Linked DNA regions of Macaca fascicularis. The protein of the gene in region 1 purifies or fractionates together with the protein of each later gene. This does not show direct contact. Links are inferred from orthologs where the notes say so. Each region holds a gene or a part of one and is shown on either strand. Other genes may lie near its edges.

Region 1 (3,048 bases):
CTTGAGAAATTTGAGCTCCTCATGCCCTTCCAGTCATGCTCAGGTTCCAGGTTAAGTTTTCTTCTCTAGTCTTCTTCCCTGGGCTCAAATTCTCAACTACTGTGGGTGGAGGGTTTGTGGAACGCTGCAGACCAGAGTTCCTCCCCTCTGAAGGCCTGTGCAGGGTTATCTGAAGTGTTTCCACCCAGAGTGCAGGAAAGAAACTCTGCCTAAGGAGCAAGGGGCAGCAAGTTCTGCAGGCACCCATGAGAGATGCCCAATGCATCCCTGAAGAGAAAAGTGACAGCAGAATGTGAGGGGAGAGCCAGCGAGGCACGTGCTCATGTTCTCACGCCCCAGCCTAGCCCAGCCAAGTGCTGATGGCCTGCACCTGCCAGTGCTGATGGTCTCTCCGCACCAAGGAGATGTGGGCTTGAACTCTGAGGTACGAAAGCTACACGTGGAGATGAGGAAAAGTGAGAAGATAACTTCAGAGGAGACAGGAGGGTTGAATTGAACAGGAAAAGATCAAAAGTACAGCCAGAATCCCATTTGGTCTTTTTTCTATTCTCCTTTATTCCATAAACACCTAGTTACAAGTTGCACAAATCAAAAAATAAAGGCAGGGAAGGGTTTAGGGAAGATTCTGGTGATGTGTGTGGGCAGGAGTAGGGAGAAAGAGTTGGGAACCAGTCTGCTCCTTCCACAGCCCTAGACAGGGCTACGGCCCCTCAGTGGGGGCTCTGAGGAAGAGGTGGGCAAAGATCCAGGGTAGCTGAGGGATGGAGGAGGCCCCTAAACCCAGAGCTCACCCCAAAAGACCCTTCAATGCATGGCAGGAGTAGAATGGGAAAGGTGAGGGGTTTGAAGATGGAGCAGCAGAATGAAAAATCAAGTTAGTAGATGCAGAGGCGAAGTCATCATGGTAAGGGGATTAAAGAAGGAAAAAGTAGGGAAAGGTTCTCCCTGAGACCCCCAGGGAGAGGTGGGGGCCGGCTTGCCTGTTAATTTAATATTAAATTGGGGATGGGAATCAGAGAGGAAAAAGTTATTCAGGGGATGATTTCTCAGCCTCTCAGCCTGTACCTGGAGGGGAAAAGAGAGGAGCACAAATCAAAAGGAAGAAAAAACTTATGTTAAGAGCCAGGAGTTGGGGTTTAATCGCCTATGTCAGTGAGAACATTGTTCTCTTTCCACACCAACTCGCACTATCAAAGGCAGCTCCTGCGGGAGCCTGGACTGCGCCTGCCTCGCGGCCGAGGACCATCCGCAGGTGCACCCCGCCCTCCTTACCCCTGATACTTACAAGAGAGGCTGAGGGCCCGGGGCCCTCACCAGTCATAGCGGCGGGACTGTCGGGAAGGGGAGTCCTCAGGTCCCTGGATGGCCAAGCGGGGAGGCCCCTCCGCCCTTCGTCCCCCCGCCCCTGAGGACTCAAGCCGCCGAAACTCCAGGGGGCGCTGCTGCCGGAATCGGGACGTCTCCCGCCGCCACTCGTCGTCAAACGCTGCGGCCTCACCTGGAGGGGACGGAGTCCACATGAGGCCTGTGTGCGGCCTGGCTCCTGGAGGCCGATGTGCGAGCGAGTCACAGCTTCTCCGGCCAAAGCGGCGAAGGCTGAGTGTGTGTGCAGGGGTGGGTGGGGCGGCAATTCCCTTAGCTCTTTGGTTTCTGCACGATCCCGGGAAGCCACCGGTAGGCCTAAGGTGGCCTACTGGAGGAAGAAATCAGAATGGGATTCTTCTTCAGTTCAGGTTCATAGTCCTGTGTGCACACTAAGTACTTAATAATTGCGGATTTGAAAAAGATAAAGAGGGGAGAAAGAAACAGATCCAGGTGGAGAAGAGTGTAACACTATCAATACGGAACTTCAGGGACAAAGCAGGCCCCTCTCAAAGACACCGCCGGCACCTGACTCAGCCCCTGAGCGGAGGAGGCTCCGAGTGCGTAAAAATATGGGGCTGACAGCCGGGCGCGGTGGCTCACGCCTGTAATCCCAGCACTTTGGGAGGCCGAGGCAGGTGGATCACCTGAGGTCAGGAGTTTGAGACCAGCCTGGCCAACATGATGAAACCCCGTCTCTACTAAAAATACAGAAATTAGCTGGGCGTGGTGGTACATACCTGTAGTCCCAGCTACTCGGGAGGCTGAGGCAGGAGAATCGCTTAAACCGGGGAGGCGGAGGTTGCAGTGAGCTGAGATCGCGGCACTGCACTCCAGCCTGGGCAACAAGAGCGAGACTCCGTCTCAAAAGAAAAAAAAAATATATATATATATATATGGGGCTGATCCAGAGCTTTGCCCAGAAGTTTTTTTTTTTTTTTTTTTTTTTTTTGAGACGGAGTCTCGCTCTGTCACCCAGGCTGGACTGCAGTGGCCGGATCTCAGCTCACTGCAAGCTCCGCCTCCCGGGTTCACGCCATTCTCCTGCCTCAGCCTCCCGAGTAGCTGGGACTACAGGCGCCCGCCACCTCGCCCGGCTAGTTTTTTGTATTTTTTAGTAGAGACGGGGTTTCACCGTGTTAACCAGGATGGTCTCGATCTCCTGACCTCGTGATCCGCCCGTCTCGGCCTCCCAAAGTGCTGGGATTACAGGCTTGAGCCACCGCGCCCGGCCTGCCCAGAAGTGTTTATGAGTTAGGGATGTCTCCTAGCCCACAGGAACTGGGCTAGGGGCTGCCGGCCAGGAAGTGGGAGGGAAGGCTCACTCTCATCCAGGTTGATATAGTCCTGCCGCTCCTCCTGGTCCCCCGTGCGATGGTTTCGGGAGCGCTGGAGGATGTGGGCCCTGTCCCGGATGTGATGCCCGATGGACATCTGCTCCAGTCCACTGTCTGAATCCCGAACAGTCCTCCGTGTCTCCCGGATCTGGGATGAGGCAGAACATGGCACACTCAGCCGCCCCTTCCAAAGCCCTGGCTATACCATCTCAGGAGAAACACACCACACACAACCCAATCCGGAAAAAAGCAGCCAGGGTTTCTGGCGGTGCCGCTCAATCCCCCCTTCTCTGGGACAGGAGGGCCCCCCACTCACCCCGCCTGGTGCCGAGCGCATCTCTGATGTCTC
Region 2 (3,749 bases), on another chromosome or scaffold:
TATTATCTATCATTTTCTGTGCCGTGTACATTAACATCCTTGCAGTGAGAGGCATAGAGCTATCAGGAGAGGGGACCAAAACCTAACTTTTTAAGTAGACTAATCTTTGTATCCTCAGCTCTATTCCATCTTTTACCGACAGCTGGTGCCTGACCTAGAGGCCTACTGCATCTTTTTGTTAACATTAAAAGTTGGCCTGGCGCGGTGGCTCAAGCCTGTAATCCCAGCACTTTGGGAGGCCGAGACGGGTGGATCACGAGGTCAGGAGATCGAGACCATCCTGGCTAACACGGTGAAACCCCGTCTCTACTAAAAAATACAAAAAACTACCCGGGCGTGGTGGCGGGTGCCTGTAGTCCCAGCTACTTGTGAGGCTGAGGCAGGAGAATGGCGTGAACCCGGGAGGCGGAGCTTGCAGTGAGCTGAGATCCGGCCACTGCACTCCAGCCTGGGCCACAGAGCGAGACTCGGTCTCAAAAAAAAAAAAAAAAAAAAAAAATTAAAAGTTGAGGACTTCTTAATGCCAATTATTTCACTCAGAATATTTATTTATTTATTTAGACAAGGTATCGTTCTGTTGCCCAGGCTGGAGTGCAGTGGCGAGATCTCGGCTCACTCAACAGGAATAATTTTAATAGCAAAAATTAAAAACTCCTTCATTAAGCCGGGCGTGGTGGTTCACACCTGTAATCCTTAGAATGATAAAAATGAAGTAAATTCACTTTGTTTCCTACATCTACCTAGATAGGGAAAGATGGAGTAGCTTTTTCTTTTTTACTTAATAGCTTCAGCGTTGTCCGGGCATTCGTTACTCTCATCTTAGTATAAAGTGGTAACAGGAAGGTCAGGTGAGTGTGGGCTGCCTAGGAGCTGCACTTAACTGCCTTCTGTTTCACAAAAGGACCTTTTCTCCCTATATCACAGGACCCTTAATGTCGTTGTTCTTGCTTTGAATTATGGGTGCTGGAAGAAACTAAACGAAGCCATCACTGAGCAATACACCCACAACCCATCGACCGATAGGAACCTTCGTGTGGGGGAAGTTGGTTACTTTTAGGCTGCACGAAGAGGCGGGGCCACGCGGGGCGGAGCTGGGGGTGGTCTGTGGGTCCGGGCGGGCTTCGGGTAGTTCCTGGGTCCGAGGAGCAGACGATCCGCTGGCCACATTAGGCGCTCAGTCTCTGCGTCTGCCCCTCCCCGTGCCTCAGAGACTTGCGCTCCCCAGGCCCGAGCCCCTATCGGCCCATCCTCGAGCCCCTGTGGCCCGCGAACCTCTTAATTCCAGCCGCTGCAGCCCCCTCCCAGGCCCGGCGTCCCCGAGCCCCGCGGGCGCCGCGCCTGCCCTTCTTTGGCCACGCGGCAGCCGCGGTGTCGGCGAGTCCTCCCGGGTTGCCCCCGCGGGCGTCAGAGGGAGGGCGGGCGCCCGCGTGGTGACGGCGACGCCTGCAGCCCGAGGAGCGCTCCACTCGCCGCCGCCGGAGGGGCCGGTGACCTCTCGGCTGCCCCGCGTCGGAGGCTTAGATGGCTCAGGCGAAGATCAACGCTAAAGCCAACGAGGGGCGCTTCTGCCGCTCCTCCTCCATGGCCGACCGCTCCAGCCGCCTGCTGGAGAGCCTGGACCAGCTGGAGCTCAGGTGAGCCGCGGGCGGGCGGGCGGTCTCGGGCGTTCTGCTCGCCGCGCGGGCGGTTAGCGGACGGAGGCCGCGTGTGGCGGGCCGGGCCCTGGGGCACAGTGAGGCTGCGGCAACAGAAGTTGCTTGTTGAGATTTGTTGTGGATGGACGTGGTGTAGTTTTGTTTATTTCTTGGATTTTCTCCCCTTGTCCAAGAGAAAACGCATTGTAAGCTAAACCTGTGAGGGCGTGATGGTGGCCACACTTTGATTAACTTACCTAGGTGTTGGGGAGCAGGAAAAAGAGGAGATAAAAGTTAAGAGGTGAGATTCCATGCGATTAACGACTGTGGCAGCGTGGGTCTGCAGAGCTTCTAGAACCTTCTGTGTGGCCCCAAATGTTTTTAACTTACTCTTCTCCCGTCATACATTTTTAAGGGAGGCAGCAGTTTACAGTGGCCCTCCACGTGAAGTTAAGTTTCCTTGCTTCAGAACACTTAAAAGAGCAAAAATGAATAAAACAAAACCAACCCAGCAATCCATTGAGACCAAAGATTAGAGAGGAGTGAGGGGTAGGCAGTAAGTTACCGGGTGCTTCGTGCAGTAAAGACGTTGCGGCTTCTCTTTATCCCCTGACCTGGCGGACGGGATTCCGCGGTTCCGTTTGTCTCTCAGTATTTATTGGGCACCTCCCTACATAGAAGACGAAGTGTTAGTCACTGGCCTGAAAGTATGAAAAGATAGTTTTCCCTTTTTCTTGCTTAAGATTTTATTAGGTAATATAGTAGTAGACTTGTACAGAATTTCTAAACAATATAATGTTAATAGATTTTTGGAAAGACTTTAACGGTATATTGAAAAGTTTTATCTACTTCCTGTGAACGTTTGTCTCAAGTTACTGTGTAAATTTTGTGAGCAACTGTAGTTAAAAGAAAACCTTGTTAGGCACCTGGAATTCCCTGAAACTGTACACAGGAGTTGGTTCCATAGTTTTCTCTAGGTTGTGCATGAGCAAAGAAGCATGTGAGCCAAAAAGTTCAGGAAACACTGCATGTGTGTTTTATCTCCCTCCATTAATACACCCAAATATGAAGTGTCCGTTTGCCGAGAAAATACTTCAAAACCACGGCATCTCTTTTAACAAGTAAGGCATTATTATTGTTACTATTGGGAGAAAAGAGCCAGAGAGTGAGAGATTCTCCGCTCAAAATAATTTCTTGGATGGCAGCAGAGAAACCTAAGCCCTACACGAGGTTCTGGGGTTCCACTCAGAATGAGGCAAGTGGAAGAGAGAAATAATGCTTCCTCATGGATTTTCACAATACTAGCAAACCTGACCCGTTCCACTCCCAGAAAAAGTAAAGCGCAAGTAGAAATTGGTGGCCTCAGTTACTGGAAGTCCCTCTAACTGATGTTTCTTTTTAGGGAGCCGCATAACAAGTAACACACCTCTCTCCATGTCTTCAGAACGTTGAGGGCATGTTCTCAACCACTTCACTCGCTCTCCCCTAGTTAGAAAGAAAAGATTTTTTCCTAAAGGAATGGGTAGGATGTTACTCCACCCCGCCTTCCTTCAAGCTGAGTCATTGTCCTCAAACTTGAATTAATGCCTCACATGTGGTAGGTACAAAAGCCCTCTGAAGTGCTCCTCTTAAAAAGAAAGCCTCAGGTTTTGAATATTATTATATTCTAATGTTTGATTAATGTAAAATGAATTCTGATTACTGCACATCAGTGATTAAATTACAACTTGCTTAATTAACATTTGAGCTGAGGAGAAAAGTGATTAATATGTGGCTGTTCATTTCAAGGACTTTTTTTAGTAATTCTAGACTTTTGTAGGCCTTTTTTTTCTTTTTAAAAAAGTAATACTAGCTGAAAAGGAAGGATTTCCTAAGGTAAGCAAAAATAGAGAAAAATGCTAACATTGATCCTATTAAAGTGTTTTTTTGAAACCACATGGGCAATGGCATAGAACACTACACTATTAAAAACTAGAATCATGCGTACAAGATCGATTTTTAAATGAAAACATGAAACTCATATGTAATTTTGCTCTAATAGTTTGATTTTATGTTAACTAATAAAGTAGTGTAACTGGGTAGAATAAAACCTTACCGTTTGTACTTAGAAGTGTG

What was found. The genes of interacting proteins can lie anywhere in the genome.
Region 2: the proteins of MLF2 (region 1) and BAG2 purify together in Homo sapiens (affinity purification with mass spectrometry; 4 studies listed by BioGRID and IntAct, with this or other methods). This does not show direct contact. The link is inferred for Macaca fascicularis from reciprocal best matches to the Homo sapiens genes MLF2 and BAG2.

The regions. Positions count from the first base shown.
Region 1 is NC_088385.1:7,675,652-7,678,699, forward strand, and holds the end of MLF2 (myeloid leukemia factor 2), read right to left. Parts: coding exon 3,016-3,048; intron 2,848-3,015; coding exon 2,688-2,847; intron 1,499-2,687; coding exon 1,311-1,498; 3' UTR 1,286-1,310; intron 1,066-1,285; 3' UTR 531-1,065; downstream 1-530.
Region 2 is NC_088378.1:114,546,487-114,550,235, reverse strand, and holds the start of BAG2 (BAG family molecular chaperone regulator 2), read left to right. Parts: upstream 1-1,147; 5' UTR 1,148-1,521; coding exon 1,522-1,634; intron 1,635-1,684; exon of another isoform or gene 1,685-3,231; intron 3,232-3,749. UniProt on the Homo sapiens protein: Co-chaperone for HSP70 and HSC70 chaperone proteins. Acts as a nucleotide-exchange factor (NEF) promoting the release of ADP from the HSP70 and HSC70 proteins thereby triggering client/substrate protein release.